2 linked regions of the Daphnia pulex genome follow. The protein of the gene in region 1 purifies or fractionates together with the protein of each later gene. This does not show direct contact. Links are inferred from orthologs where the notes say so. Each region holds a gene or a part of one and is shown on either strand. Other genes may lie near its edges.

Region 1 (10,767 bases):
CCAGTGATTGTCATAGTATTGGTGTTTTGGTCTCTGCTCTCAAAGGAAATATTGACATGTTGAAATATTTCCTTGGACTTGGAGGTGATGCCAATGCCATCGATTTGCTGAACAGGACGGCCCTACATTACGCGGCCAGTTCTTCTAGTTCAAACGCCCCCCAATGCATTGAAATATTAATCGAACACGGTGCAGCCGTTGACGTGTGGGATCGAAACGAAGAAGCGACTCCGCTCATTTGCGCCGCCGCTTCAGGTCGTATCGAATTGGTCGAAGTCCTTTTAAATGCCGGAGCAGAAGTCAATGCAGGGCTTTCCGATCCCAAACATTTGGACGGTAGTAGTCCTTTATTATGGGCCATAAGAGCTCGTTCGATAGTTTGCGCTACGCGTCTAATCAAGGCCGGTGCTGCTGTCAACAGTTTGCAAGTTTACACCGAGTCGCCGATTCATGTGGCGGCTGTCCAAGGCGACGTTCAATGGTATTATTATTATAATTATTATATAAATTAATAGTTAATAATAATAATAAATTAATTACTGGCTCAGTATGCAATTGCTGTTGGAAAATCAAGCAGACATCCGTGTGGTCTTCGGAGCCGAGAGGAGGAATGCTCTTCACTTGGCATCTTTCGAAGGCAACGTGGAATGCATTCGATTGCTTTTACAGACCAGCAAAGCGCAAATCAACACCAAGGATGCCCTAGGTCGGACACCTTTACATTTGGCGGCCCTTTCTCAATCAGTGGACTCGGTTAAAGAACTCTTGGAAAACGGAGCGGAAATTGACAATTGCGATGAAATGAAGGAGACGCCACTTCACGGGGCTGTAGTCAAATGTCGTCAGTCGACCGAGGTCGTCAAGTTGTTAATTTCCAAGGGAGCTAATGTCAATGCAAAGGATCAGTTTGGACAAACGCCACTTCACATAGCGGCGTTTAATGAAAATTCAAAATTGGCTATCCTTTTGATCCATTCGGGAGCCGATCTGTCAATTAAGAATCGAGCAAAAATTTCGGCTTTGGCCTCAGTCGTCCGACGAGTACCCGACGCCTTGACAGCCATTTCACGCAAATTAGATTCAGCTATTGACGTTGTCGACAACGAGCCAGCCGATCCTGATTGTCAATTGAAGTTGGATTTAAGGTTACTTGACTTTTATTTGTAATTATTAAACATTTTTTTTTTTTAATATAGTTTTTCCTTTAGAGTTTTAGTACCAGGGGGCAACCAGCAAAATGTTGGAGAAATGGGTTTCCTGACGTCGTTGGTGGCGGCCGAACAACGACACATTCTTCAGCATCCAATTATTGGGGCTTTTCTTCACTTGAAGTGGATGAAAATTCGCACCACTTTTGTAGTCTCGCTAATCTTTCAACTTTTATACGTTCTCGCCCTGACATCCAACATTTACTCCATTTATGTTGTTAAAATGAACACGAGAGTAAACGATACGCAAACAACGAACAATACGACGAACAACTCGACGTCATTCACTGATTGGCCAATGGAGTTGGATACCACATTGTGGTATTTGACAGTCTTATTGGGGGCGGCGACAGGTGTCAAGGAATTTTTCCAACTTTACTGCAATGCGCACGAATATGCGAGGGATATAGAGAACTATTTCCAACTCATTTCCATCTTTGGAATGATCCTTATCCTTTCCCCTCACCCAATGCACACAGGTGAGCCCGATAATGGTGATTGGCAACATCACGTTGCCGCCATCGTTATTATCGTGGCATGGATTAATCTCATGTTGCACGTCGGTCGATTTCCTGGTAATGTTCTGATTTATCTCTCCATTTTTAATAGACTCTAATTCATTGATTTTATTTTTCTTTAGTGTTTGGTCTGTACGTGCAAATGTTTACGACTGTCGCGTGGAACATTGGCAAACTGTTGGTGGCTTATATGAGTCTCATCGTGGGATTTTCTCTAGGATTCGCAGTTCTCTTTCCTTCGGAAAGTGTCTATAACAACATGCCCTACGCACTTTTGACGACGATCGTCATGATGACGGGCGAAATGAATTACGCCGACATGTATACCGAGGGAAAAATCAAATATCCCGGAACAACCCATTTCGTCTTCCTGGTTTTTCTTCTTTTCGTCGTCATCGTTCTGATGAATTTACTCGTCGGTTTGGCCGTCTCCGATATTCAAGGCTTGCAGAAATCGGCTGGTCTGGATCGCCTCGTTCGATTAACAAAACAAATTGCTCGCATGGAAAGTTTCGTTTTCTTTCCTTGGCCCATCCATTTTTCCAGTATCTGGTCAAAGGTTCCAAGACGTGAATTCATACGGCGAAATGTCCTGGTCGTCTCACCCAAAACCAGAAAAAATTACAACTTCCGACCCAACGATCCGCGTGATAAAAGCTTCCCACCCGAAATCAAAGAAAGCCTGTTGAAAATAATTGCTGTAAGGATAGCGAACAAGAAGAAAGGCGCACAACAAAAGTCGTCCCACGTACCAATCATTCGAACTGCAACGATACCTTTGGATTCAAATAACGGAGAGCTCTTTACGGAAGTGATGAACAGAGTTGACGAACTCTTCCATAATTACATGACACAAATCGTTACGATAAATTCGACGATAGAAGATCAACTCGCGCAGCTGACGGCCAAATACAACTACCCATCGACTCGATCACGACAGACAAGGCATTCTTGTGATTGTTCCATGATTAACGAAGAATCCTTCAGTGTTCCTGGAATGAGCTCACTGGCTTGATGATCCACCCACCCATTTTTAAAATCAGTATATAACCTTTTGCTCAATAACATATTCAATGGTCAATTCATTTCCATGAATTTCCACACTCGAGTCGATAACTAACACTAATTATTTAAAAAAAAATTATAATTACCAAATATCCGGGAAATGTGGTATGGATCCAGCTTTTGTAGAAGTGATATTATGTCTGAGCTTGTACAACTTGTAGCATAGCGTTTTGTTTGCTCCGTTTGGAGGACATCTACGAGATAAAATAAAAATGGTTACCGTAACGTGATGGGAAACAATTTTTGCTATTCCATAATCAAAGAATGAGAAGTTCATAATTTACATTTAATTGAATATCGTGAAATTTAAAGTTTCTTACGAAAAACATTTTTTAAAGTGTAAAAACTGAAAAAAGTTAGCATGTTCCATCAGCAGGATGTTGTAAAGCGCATGAGTGCATGACAACGGTAAGACCGTTAGGCAGTAAAAATGCCTTAGAGTGTTGTGTTGCCCAGGGCTCATGAACACAACCGTGTCAGTCTGTGCTTGTGTTTCTAACTTGATATCATTCGTTGGAAAATAACTTTCAGGGTGAAGCCGTCTCTAAATCTTCGTGTGACCATGGATGCCTTTCGAAGCTTTGTATACGAATTGTACATCATGGTTAAATTTATTTATCTCAGTGCAAAACAATTGTTCCAAGAAGCCTGCAGAACTGTGAAACCACTCAATGGTAAACAAAGAAATTATTTTCCATATTCGTGATTCAATATTTTACATTTCGTTCATCAGATCCTATCAATCGACGAGAAGAATATGCTATAATCACCGGTGGGAATCGAGGATTAGGTTTCTACACTCTTCTGGGCTTGCAGGCTTCTGGAATGAAAGTCATTGCAGGTACAAAACAGGTTTTCTTTTCAATCTACTGTCAAAATGGACGAAATTCTAAACACTGTTAACGTAATACAGGTTGCCGGGATGGAAGAAGTAAACAACAACTATTTGAGAATTTGGAAGAAGCTGGTATTCCAGCCGATTCAGTGGAATGGATAAATCTCGACTTGTCATCGTTAAATTCGATCAGAAATTTTGCAAAAGTTGTCACTGACAGAAACATCCCGATCAGTCTACTCATAAACAATGGTATTTTTTTTCTCGTGATTATTCAAGGCAAACATTTAAAGACAAATTTTGTTTTGATAACAGCCGCCGTTATGTTCACACCCTATGGCTTGACAACAGACGGTTTAGAGCAACAGTTTGCTGTCAACTACCTGGGACATTTTCTCTTAACTCATCTACTCTTACCTCGATTAATTGAAGCAGGAAAGCATCATCGTTATGCTTCACGAATCGTTAACGTTGCTTCAGATGTATCTTACCTCGGCTATCTAGAACTCAATGACTTAAACGCCAAGTATAATATTTCTAAGGGTCGTTAGTAAACAGCTAATAATTTCTTTTTACCCCACCCCTTAAAGGTCTTTTTACAACAGATTTGTGGCTTATTCCCAGTCCAAATTAGCACAGGTTTTATTTAACGAAATGCTCCATGATCGTTTGACACAAAATAACTATCCTGTCAAGTGCTACGCCATGCATCCGGGTGTTATTCAATCCAACTGGTACGCCAATGGAAGGTTTTTGAAAATCGGTTTTCGTATCGTTGGCTTCTTACTTAAGGTATAGTTATACGAGAAAAGAAAAAGTAAATAATGTTACTTTAATTTTTAAAAACTTTTGATAGAGAGAACCAGTTGCAGCCCAACGAGTTTTGTATACAGCATTTTCACCCGAATTGGAAAACTCCAGCGGTTGCTATTTATCAGATTGCAAAATAACAACACCCGCCACTAAATCAATCTGTCCAAGTATGCGATTAAAGCTGTGGGATGCAACACACAAATTACTTGATATTGAAGAATTTGGAAAAGTTAAAAGTTCCCAATAATAAAAAGCGTGTCAAACAAAAACGAAAGACCTCATTTTCTAGTTCCTAACTGAAAAAAAGTAAAAAAACATGATTCATGGCTGCAATCCATCGATTTATTGGATCGTAGAGCACAGACAAACGAAGTCGAATAATCTACTCGTCGTCGGCTTCGGCAGAAGCCTCCAGTTTGGAGAGGAATTCCCTCTTCTTGGTGGCAACACGAGCCTTGCGCTCTTCCAGGGTGAGCCTCTTGGCGTTCCAGCGCTTCTTCTTGATCTTGGATGGATCCTTGCTGGACTTCTGCTTCTCGGGGTCAGCTCGGATAGCTTCATGGGCCTTCTTGTACATGGTCTCGACCTGATGAATGATAATAGATAAAAACTACGTTTTTTTAATGCAAATCATATGAATAACTGAACTTACGGTATCGGCAACAATGCCATGCTTGATGAACTGAGAGAATTGCTTCTTGTAAGCTTCTTCATCTTCATCCACCAATTGACGCATGTAGTCAGCAACATGGGCACCCATGATGTGCTTACGGTGAACTTCGGCGTTGAAATCCTTGGATTCGGAATCGTAGCCGGGGAAACGCTTGGTGCTGTGGGGAACGTCAATTCCACCATCGACGGCTCCCTTCATGGCGCCGAAGATGCGAGCACCGGTGGTGGTGCGGGCCAAACCGACATCGAGGCAAGCGCGGAATGCACCTGGTCCATCGTCAACATCTTCAACATTGAAGACTCCTCCAGTAACTTCAGTGCAGCCTTGGTAGATGGTGTCCAACTTGAACTTCTTCAACAGCTACAGGAAAATGTTGACAGTTTAGTCATTGTACTGGTTTTTCAACAACACGGTCAAACTTACTCTTCTTGCGAGCAAAAGTCCAGTACAGTATGCAGCAGCATAGTTAGTCAACCCAACCTTGACACCGTAGTGAGGAAGTTCATGACTGTATGCAGCACAAACAATCACGTCTCCTTCAATACGAGCGTACGCTATCTGCAAGACAAGACACAAATAAATTGAAAGATCAAAACATGAAAAGACTGCAGTCAGTGGGTGATCCAAAAATTACCTGACAACAAATGTCTTTGTTGGTGAATCGAACAATCATGCGGTACTTGGGGGTGTTGTACTTGTTCTTGTCCTGAACTACAAGACGACGGCGGGCATAGTAATCGGTCTTTCCCTCACGACGCCTGCGGAACTTGACTTGAAACCGCTTGAAATAAGCCTTGTTCTTGATCACTTTAATAAATCCCTATAAAAAACAAACACGTTAAGCGGCATGACAAGTCATATTGAATCCAACGATATCACAACTTAAATACGACATCTATCGTTATGCAACTTTTAAATTTGGTTAGGGTGTTACTTGACACAAAGTTATACGTTAGAAACTTACCATGGTGGAGATATATTATTTGAATAGCTTCGGTTTAAGGGCGAAAAATGGCCGGACTGTGGCTTCGACTACTCGTCGAGGCCCTGCTTAACTGAGAAAGGTATGGTTGGCCTTAAAGCTGAAATCAACGTCTGTCAGTGTTGCCAAGTAGGAAATTTTTAGTCCGCTTTACTTGTTTATTATTATTTTTCATTTAATAATTGAATTTTTATACAAAAAAAAAATATTTTATAATTAATATAGATAGTATTAAGCTTCAATACATTCATAATTCATAGAAAATAACAAATGTCATTTTTCAATCTCTCAGCTGTTTTGCTGTTCTTATGTCAGCTGTGAGCTGTCAAAATTTGAAAATCGCAATATTAGCCTACTTGGGCCTAGGAAAATTGCTGTTTGCTGTTTACCTTAGTTCTCCTTGTTGTGTTGATTAATCTTGTGTTCTTCATGTATTTTGAAGACAGTGCAAAATGGTTAAAGGATTCCAATTTCCTTATGGTCTTGATTGGATTGGGATTAGTTTACATAACATTTAAAGTTCTAAAATACACAAACAAGAGGGTATGTAAGCATTGTGTGTTAGTACAGATATCAACGCGTGATTTTAAAATGATTTTTCTGTAATAATAATGTTTCTGGGATTATTCCAGGGGTTGCTGAAAGAAAGAATCAGGCGCAAACTGGGTCAGGTCAAAGAAAATCAAAATAAATTGGAACAACATCTTAAAAATCATGATGACCCAGTTATTGAAAAGCGTAAGGAGATAGTCCAGCTGGATATAGAAGAATTGCTAAAGAAGCTTCAAAATGGGGATTTGAGCTGTCTGGAAGTGCTGAGAGCATATCAAGCAAAGGTAATCACTATAGCAAGTCTTCAAGTGTTTTTACTGATAAAAATTAATCACTCTTTTTTTTCTTTTAGGCTCTGGATGTAACAAAAGAATTAAACTGTGTCACAGAATTCATCAAAGAAGCAGAGGTATTGTAAAAGTCTGAAATAATTTTTGTGTATATCCTTTGTATGTTAACGCAATTGCAATGCATATTTATTCAGAAATGGGCAGAAGAACTGGACGCTAGCACTGATACAAAAAAAACGCTCCATGGTCTTCCGTTTAGCGTCAAAGATAACGTCAGTGTCGGTACGGTATGCCGTTTTGCCGGCAGAATATTAAAATCAAGCATAATATTAAAACACTATGTTTGTTTTTAGTTGGCTATGATTGCACGGCGGGAATTTCGAAGTTTATTGATCAATCTGCAGTGGAAGATGCCGCTTTGGTCTCTGCACTCAGAGGCCTTGGGGCCATACCATTTTGCCGAACTAATGTCCCCCAAACATTGTTAAGGTATAGTTGCCAATGCAGTTTTGCGTTTAGCTAGAATGGTACGTTTAAATTCATTTTGTCTCCTACCAACAGTTTTGGATGTAGTAATCCGATATGGGGTTCTACGAAAAACCCCTTTTGTAAAGAGCGAACACCAGGCGGTTCCTCTGGTGGAGAAGCAACTTTAGTTGCTGCTGGAGGTTCCCTACTCGGTAAAATTCTTCGAATACATTAATATTATATTGAAATAAAGTTTAGAAAAAAATCGTGTATAACATTTACCAGGAATTGGTAGTGATATCGGGGGAAGTATTCGCATTCCGGCGGCTTTCTGTGGAGTTTTTTCAATTAAACCTACCAGTTTAAGACTCAGGTATTTCAATATTCTGGTTATTCACTTCCCTGAATTCGAAATATTTTTCTGTCTATCTAGCTACAAAGGATTTAGAAAATCGGCCGTTGGTTGCATTGGAAGTAAGGCAACAAACCTTCAAACCATTACATTCTTTTAATTTTGTAATCCAATTTTGTAGTTCCTTCTGTACCGGGAATCTTGGCGCGAGATTCAAAAACCGTGATAATGCTCTGCAAACTACTCCTTGACGATGGTTACATCCGGAGATACTTCGATCCAGATTTGCTTCCAATTCCTTGGAATGAACAAGTAAGAAATTATTAGTAAAAATATTTCTTTCCCATGAAAACGTTTGTAATATGTAAAATTATTAACGTAAAATAGATATTTGGCCTTTCTAACAAATTACGGATCGGTTACTACGAAGAATGCGACTACTTCCCCTGTACACCTGGTGTCCGACGAGCTGTTCGAGTGGCTAAGGAAAAGTTGGAGGCGTTAGGGCACGAACTCATTCCATTTGTTCCGCCACGCGTTGATTACGTTATCAGTTCTGTCATCAGCATGTTTTATGCGGATCAAGGCAGATACGTGTTGGAGGCTCTGTAAGTCATCGACTTTTCAATAGTTTAGTTGGAAAAGAATCTAATAATTTAATTTGATCTTCTCCTACAGCTCAGTTGATGACATTGATCCATTGTTAGTTTTACAAATCAAAGTAAGTTGAACTGTTTCAATTTTACTATAATAAGTTTTTTAAACGAATGTCTTCTTAGGTTGCACTGAAGCTACCGCACCTTGTAAAGCAAATTATTCGGCCATTGCTGGCTTTAATCGCACCTCGTCTCGAGCCATGTTTCATGGGTAAGTCGATAGTCTTCTAGCATAAAATGACGGCCTAAAATTTACTCCATTCGCCGAATTAGCTGCTGCCGGGCATCAGTATCGCCATTCTTACCAACTCTGGCATGGAATACTTAAGCAGAGCGAATATAAAGCGAATTTTCTAGCTGATTGGAGGAATCTTCGCTTGGATACATGCATCGGTCCGGGATTCGCTTGCCCTGCTCCTCTAGCCAAAGACACTGGCCGTGTAACACGTAAGTGGTGCACCGCTTGCAAACTTTATTTATGCCCGGATTAGCTAATGAAATAATTTTTTGGTTTCTTCCGACTAATAGCTGCATTTGCGTATGCGTGTCTCTACAATTTCCTTGACTTACCTGCTGGTATCGTTCCCGTCACCAAAGAAATGGAAGAAGACCAAAATATGCTTATGAATGGTGGCTATGATTTCAGAGATTTGGTCTGTAAACTTGTTAAAAAGGTAAGAAAAAAAAATCAATCATTTAGAGTTTTATTTAATCGTAACGTTTGATTCCTATTTGCCTAGACTACTCGGGGAGCTACTGGTTTGCCTATACCGGTCCAAGTTATTGGTCTTCCCTATCAAGAAGAAGTTGTGCTTCGCACTATGAGTATCCTGGATTCCGCCTTCCGAGTCTGAATTATCTCTTACGTAATCATTGCACTTTGCGCGGTACTAGTTTCTCCGTCCTTACGACAGTGTGCTACAAGAGCCACTTGGACCCTTAGAGGAAAGGTTATGGAACAATTAAAAGATTTTGAAATTAATAGTTATTGATATTATGGAAAGAGATTTTACAAATGTTAAATTTACTGTGATATTACAGTAATCAAAGCAGGTAGTTGTGTTAAGTATCGGGGATAAGAATTGATTTTAACATTCCATTACAGTTTATTATTGTAGCACAAAACAGTTGAAAATAAATGCGAAAATGTGTTTGCGTTCAAAAGCGATCATTTGATGTTTTCCCGAAAAGTTCAACAGGGAGGGATGTTTTACACGGCCTGACTTTTTGACCTGGAAAAATTTGAAAGGAAACCTGCAGTCGGCTTGTCGATTACCCAATCAGTCTGTGCTGCATCACGAGGTGTTCCGTAGACTTTGTCTACTTCTAATTTCGTTGCAATATAAGCCAATACGTCAAGGGATTCGAACCCTTCGACATGGAGAGAATGCGACTTCAAAGAAACCAAAAGACGCGGAAGAAAAAAATCGCATTTCACGTCCGTTTATTTCGCGCCAGCCATGAGAGCACGTCAAAGTGTACGGTTTAAAGAAACCCGACCCCTTGGAGCCCAAATCCAAATTGTGAAGCCTAAATGTTCTGAACGTTATCCCGTCAATCTATGCCGCCTTCAAAAATTGCAAAATTTCGCTTTAGCCGTTATACAGTGGATGCCGCCGGATGTCGAATCGATACTCTTCCGTAAATCGACTTTCAAAATATAATTCGAATTTTTTCGGCGGTCAAAGTTCCCACTCAACAGTTTCTAGACCCTGGCAAAGCAATTTCTGTTTGCAATCGGTGCTTGCGGCTATCTTGGATCGAGTGCGCGGGTGGACAGGAAGGACCGGAATGCTGCAGCAGAGAAAGAACACGCGAACAGCTGATAATGATGATGTCACACAAGAAAAGAGCCATCAACAGGAAGATAACGATCAGTTGCCGGATGACGAAAATGTGATCTCTTTTTCCCCCCCAGCAGGTGAATGGACCGAGCTCAGGGGGGCGTTGAACGAAGAATCCGTCAGGATGCGAATCAAGTTGACCGAGAGAGTCATCCATAACATCTTTGGTGACACAAGGGGCCGATACGATCGAAGACGAATGGAGATGTTGGCAAACAACAGAAAGTACAAGAATACTTTGTTGCAAACGTCCAGCATTCTGGATGGTCTGCTTGATATTGTAATTCCATCAACTTTTGATTTGCTTTCAGAGAAAATTAGTATCCGTCATTTTAGTGAATTTTCCTTCTTTTCAAATTGAACGCTTAAAATTGTTGGATATTTTCTTATTTGTTTAAACTCATAAAGTCACGGATACTCTAGGCGTGGCTTTCAAAATGGACAAAGTTAGGATTTGAGAACCCATATTCAATAAGTCTCAGACTCAGAATTACCGCACCCGTCTCATTTA
Region 2 (5,851 bases), on another chromosome or scaffold:
CAGTCAATAACAGCATTGCCAAATGTCCAACCCATTACTAATGTACTCCAGGTCCAGGTTACCAGATACCAGGTATTTTAATTTTTCAAGTGTAAACTCACTTAGTCCCAGCCCAGTCCTCGCTGTCCTGCAGTCCTGTGTATAGTGATGCAGTGCCAATCCACCTTTCCACCCAGTCTATATGGTCTGTCTTATATGTCAAATAAATTTATAGACTGTTTCCACCATGCACCATGAGTTAATCCAAAGACAAACACACAGGAGTCACATATCAAGACCACTTCTTTATCTGTGCTTGAGTGGGAAATCAGACCAATCACATAATGACTCGCTTAAGACATAAAAAACTTCTGATTTCAGTTCACTAAGTGAAGACATTTTAAGTTGTCTGTTTTTTTTTATTGTAATCATTTCATGTTTATTTCTAATAAAATGAAATAAAAATTACTTAACCTAAACAATTTATTGTCTTTGTTATTTAAAAGGGGAACTCAAGAAAATATCAGCGTCAGAACGGTTTGTATTCAGTACGTCGTTTACAAGACAACAGTTATTCATCGCCAGAATCACCCAAGATTTCATTAAAAATAGCTCCAGCTCTTTTCTTGCCAGTTGCTTTTGGGTTCTTCATCTTCTTTTTCTTCTCTTTTTTCTTTTTTTTCCCACCTTCACCACGATTGCTCGCAACTTCTTTAACAATTTTAGCTGCATTTTTGTCCTCAAAAACCTCTTCATCAAGCGGGTCCAAATCGCATAGATCTCCTGTCGGTTGTCTTGCTGCCAGCGACAACTTTTGCTCAATTTTCTGACGATACTTCAATCCTGTTTGTAAGTTCAGCATTCGGCGATACTAAAGAAGAAACTTGATAGGATGTGTTGTAAGTGGAAAAGGATTATTTAAAAATACCGCATTTGGCGTAACATAACTAGAATTTTCCCAAATAGTTTCTCCGCCAAAACTCCCATCGAAAACTTTGATGGGATTCAACACAAATCGTGGCCCTATACATTCGAATCATTTTAAACAACAATCTTAGAAACCAAAGGGAAAAAAAATAAAAATACCTATTTCCGCAAGCTGACCATCCTCTTCAAGAATTTGAAAGTTTCGAAACCAGATCCGATTTTCAATTATCGTAAAAGTGAAAACATGGTCAAAGAATGGTTGACTTTTGGGATGATTTTTAGGAGTTGAAAAGATCTTAAAATTTTAAAATAAAAAAAAATTATGTCATCCTGAAGAAAATATAAATAAAACCTTGCCTGTGTCATGAGTTCCTTTAATAGAGACCAATGTGGATGTGTGTCAAAACTGGAGTCAAACGATAGCAATGGTCTTGTGCCCTTTAAGCAATTTCCAGTCATTTTCAATTCTTTCATTGTGTGCACTAGTAAAAAATAATAAATTTAGTACTGATCATATTATTACTTTAATAAACTGACCATTTTCAATATAAAATTTAGCACTAGGCCCTTTTGGAACATCTGCAAGCCAAAGAAACAAATCTTGTTTTTTCCTTCCTTCAAAAAATATGCATTTACTACAATTCTTCATTTCACAAATCTACATGAAGATGTTATTTGAATATTAGTACTTAATTTATGAAATTGAAAAGAAAATGTTACTTCATTGATGACAAATAGAGGGTCCTTTCTCTCAAATTTACTTTCTGTTTTGGAGTGAGGCATCATATCACGCAAGTCAACCATCAAGTGCCTATCTCTTTGTGTTATTCCACGTGCAGCAAAGACAAGAACTCTTTGTTTGTTCACCCATTTCGCCTATTTGATTTAAGCATGAATTAAAAAAATTGTCACTGATTTTTAGATTAGCATATACCTTTTTCGTCACAGGCTCGTCTGATGTTCGCACCAATGGCAATGCAGTTTCTTCAATTTTGTTATCTTTCGATTCCGGCATGATGGTGCTCTTCTTTCTTTTCGCCATCATGAAAGTGTAAAAGCTTAAAAATTGTTAGCAGGCACTTCGAGATTTAAGCTTGAAATTCTGAACCAACTAACGACAGAATGTTGAAGCAGAAGACACAAAGACCACGTGCGAGTGAACGTATACTGCATTACTGCCTTCATTTGTTTTAAGGGTGCGTTCATAAACATATCTGATTTCTCGGCTGTCCCTAAACTGCGAAAGCGAAACGCGAAACGCGAAACGCCTAAAATGCGGAAAAGCTGTGCGAAACGGACCCAAAAGTTGGGACCCTGTTTCGCATTTTAGGCCTTGGGTCCGTACTAAAATGCGAAATCGGTGGGTGCGAAATGTCAACAGAACGTCAACAGACGACGCCATTAACATACTTGCGTCACAAAAATCTACTCGTCAAGGGGCGTATCAAGTAAGTTATCCGAGCAATCGCGATTCCATAAGCATACACGGGAAAATCCCTCTACCGGGAATCAGTTCGAACTAAATTTTCCGTGTATAAAATTTGATTGCTCCCCCCTTTCAATGTCTTAAACAAAAATAATCCCACAGCGCCCAGCGGGGTACATTAACACATTGTTACGTCGTCGACGTTCTCTATGTCATTCGATCAATCTGTTTCTCTTAGCCGGAATTTCTCTCAACAGTTGTTCGCCGAGGAAAATCGGCTGACCAAGTCAAATGGAAAAAACTATCAGCCGATAGCAGCCCGGCGTCTAAATATATATAGCTATTCGATTAAAATTTATTGAAAATGCCACCCAGCTAAAACGTGCTGAAAGCTTCTTCCGCCTCTATTCCACAAAGACTTAATTGGAGATTTCTCATTCAAGAGCTCATCCGAGGGACCCCCGTGCTCTTGAAGAAACAAGAGTAATCGAGTCGACTAAATAAATTTAATTTGATAAGACTGTTTTCCCATGAAATACAAACATTTTATTTTCAAAACTCTAGCGAAAAGTAATATTCGTTAATATATAGTGTACACAGTACACACATTCATATCCATACATACATTCACATTACATATACTATGAGTCATGAAACATGGCGGCCTAAACGGGCCTCATCCGTCAATTTGCACTCTGGTGGGGAAAAGAAAACATTTTCGTTTCGCATTTTGAGGTTTCGCATTTTAGTATGCCCTCCGGCATTTGGTCCCGCGAAACGGTCCAAAAATTTTGGTCCGTTTCGCACAGCCTTTCCGCATTTTAGGCGTTTCGCGTTTCGCGTTTCGCTTTCGCAGTTTAGGGACAGAGCCTGATTTCTCCATTCCCATTCGTGGAAAATGTTCCAATTCCAAATTTGAAAATGCTGTCTCAGACGGCCACTGGATTACGAACTTGTGCTCTAACTTAACTAAGCTATTACTAAGCTTAAATTAGTTAATATTAATAATAATTTATTTTATATAATTCCTTAATATATTATCTCTCCTCTCGCCAACACAAGACTCGAGCCAATCGCATGTCGCCATGCTCGCAAACAGATAAAGGCCTCTTCAGGAAATAAACTAAACAATAAACGAAAGCAAGGGTATGGAAAGATGGATGCCAATGACCATGTTAAATTTCCCATAAGGGGATTCGACGGCAAGCTACTTTGCTACTTTTTTACTAGCGATTTTGTATGGAGGTCGAGTTGAATCAACGCCATCTAGGACGTTGCGAGTTGCGACATATAAACAGTCAACTCGACCTTTTAGTAAAATGAGCAGACGGCCCCTTATGGGAAATTTTTAAAAATGGATGCTGGAAACCATCTCTCCATAGTCCATACTCCATACCACTGACGAAAGGCAAGGCTTTCAAAAAACAGGGTTATATGGTTGGCTGCTGTGCGAAATTGGAAGCGAAAGGAAGCTTCTCGATAAGTCGATTTATTTTTCCACTTGCGGTATTAAAACTAAAACCCTTTGCACTATTATAAGTAAATATATACATATAATAGGCTACAAGCAAATTTGTCAGATGTAATTTTTTCACTCTGATATATAAAATGCAGGAAAAGCTGCGATACGACGAAGGAAAGATAAAATTGTTGAAAAGAATTCAAGAAATGAATATTTATACTTGCATTGCCTACTGCCTACGTTGCTTACTTGCCAGGAGATAAGCAAACAATCTGTACCACTAATTATGCATCGAAAAAGGTTGAGCATGCGGTTTTGTTATTTCCTAATAATTAGTTCTAGACTTCTATGCAATCGCCAATCGGGAGGAAGTTTACAACATGCAATGCAATCCTCTTATCCGCGCCGAAAAGCAGTTTGGTGTTTTGGTCTGCCAGTGAAAAAATTCCGCTAGGTTCGCCCTCTATGAAAAAAACCCCAGTCGTGCCTTATCCTTCCTTATCATTCCCCCTTCATGGCCTTATGGACGTATGAAAAACCATTTTACTTTGGAAAAAACCTAAATTGAAATAAATCTTGTGAATACTTAAAAGTATATTTTCTTTGAATTAAAAATGAATGTACCTCCTCCGAAACCTCCAAAACCAGGTATTAGTAATATTCAACACTTCAATTTACAGTTAAAAAAGTTTTCCCTGCCTCCTCTGTCAATGTGTCAATAATATTGAAATGTCATGACAGGGCAAGTGAAAGTCGTTAAAGCATTATACGCCTATACGGCACAGCATGTAAGTTTTATTTTTTTGCTATACAATTCTAACAATTAAGGCTTCAGAAATAATCTTAATTAACATGCTCATATTCCTAGCCTGATGAACTGTCATTTGAAGAAGGAGAGTTGTTATATGTCATGGAATCCTCCTCAGACCCTAACTGGCTAAAGGCTAAGTGTGGTACCTGTACTGGATTAATTCCCTGCAATTATGGTAACTTGAATCAAATATTGTTATCCATTGAAAAGTGTTATTAAGGAAACAATCAACACATTTTCTGTTTCATTTTCTGTCAGTTGAAGAAAATGCTGAGTTGATAACAATGCCCCTTCATGATGCATGTCGGCGTGGGAATGTCTTATTTTTAGAAGAGGCAATTCTCAATGGAGTGTCTGTGAATGCAAGTTAATTAGCTCCATTTAGGAGTTATAACTGATGCTGAAGTTTCATTATTTTTTTTTAAGCAACTCGATAAAGCAGGTAATACAGCCTTGTTCTGGGCAGCCCATGGAGGACATATTTCTTGCATGCAACTATTACTGCAATCAGAAAAAATTGATTTAAATGCTCAAGTAATTAATTTACCTAATTTTATTATTTATTTTATAATCTAATAGATATTTGTTTATATATACATAGAATAAATTAGGAGACACTGCACTTCATGCTGCTGCTTGGAAAGGTAGAATTGAAGCTGTTAGTTTGCTACTTTCAAGTGGAGCAAAAACAAACATTTTAAATTGTGAAGGGAACAAAGCCTTAGCTCTTTCCAGGGATCCTGAGATTATCAATATGATAGCCAAGCATGATGATAGCCTTATATCAAACAATGTTAGTGAATACTTTGGTAATGCTGAGGAATTGGATTCTGACTGATAAATTATTATGTCTTAATGGAATCAGTTCTTTCTTGAAAAGCAGGCTGAAGTTAACAAACTAAATTTTCATGAAATATCTTTTACATTTACTTCTTTCAATGTGTGCTGTATTTTCAAATTGATTTGTTTATTTTTTATTCACATATAGGAATGTTATTTGTTTTACAACTTGTAAAATGTTCATATTGTTGTGAATCATTGTTTTTAGTTTCGGTGATAAATACATTCAGTAAAAAATAAAATTACCCTAAAAACAAATTCTCAAAAGTATTTTATTTTGATTCTATGTCAAAATTTGTTTGATTCTTCCCGTACAGATTCAGGTTACAAGGTTTGAGATTTTTTTTTCTTTTTTTTTTTATAAAAAAGACGTACTCGAGGTTAGGGCTGAAACACGGGCCATGAA

What was found. Proteins that work in one complex are often made in the same cells at the same time.
Region 2: the proteins of 60S ribosomal protein L5-like (region 1) and ribosome biogenesis protein BRX1 homolog fractionate together in Homo sapiens (co-fractionation; 3 studies listed by BioGRID and IntAct, with this or other methods). This does not show direct contact. The link is inferred for Daphnia pulex from reciprocal best matches to the Homo sapiens genes RPL5 and BRIX1.

What each region holds. Positions count from the first base shown.
Region 1 is NC_060018.1:3,930,442-3,941,208, reverse strand, and holds 60S ribosomal protein L5-like, read right to left. Parts: upstream 6,217-10,767; 5' UTR 6,080-6,216; coding exon 6,077-6,079; intron 5,933-6,076; coding exon 5,747-5,932; intron 5,671-5,746; coding exon 5,536-5,670; intron 5,473-5,535; coding exon 5,092-5,472; intron 5,026-5,091; coding exon 4,822-5,025; 3' UTR 4,760-4,821; downstream 1-4,759. Other genes in the region: transient receptor potential channel pyrexia-like, read left to right, coding at 1-481, 549-1,145, 1,209-1,783, 1,849-2,741; short-chain dehydrogenase TIC 32 B, chloroplastic-like, read left to right, coding at 3,354-3,465, 3,525-3,632, 3,705-3,878, 3,942-4,152, 4,217-4,418, 4,483-4,686; fatty acid amide hydrolase 1-like, read left to right, coding at 6,524-6,637, 6,727-6,930, 6,999-7,055, 7,131-7,218, 7,290-7,425, 7,498-7,616, 7,690-7,777, 7,838-7,878 and 7 more.
Region 2 is NC_060022.1:6,870,186-6,876,036, reverse strand, and holds ribosome biogenesis protein BRX1 homolog, read right to left. Parts: upstream 2,089-5,851; 5' UTR 1,952-2,088; coding exon 1,841-1,951; intron 1,783-1,840; coding exon 1,627-1,782; intron 1,565-1,626; coding exon 1,444-1,564; intron 1,389-1,443; coding exon 1,264-1,388; intron 1,202-1,263; coding exon 1,066-1,201; intron 1,003-1,065; coding exon 908-1,002; intron 851-907; coding exon 551-850; 3' UTR 503-550; downstream 1-502. Other genes in the region: osteoclast-stimulating factor 1-like, read left to right, coding at 4,409-4,442, 4,536-4,582, 4,663-4,780, 4,864-4,967, 5,032-5,139, 5,207-5,443. UniProt on the Homo sapiens protein: Required for biogenesis of the 60S ribosomal subunit.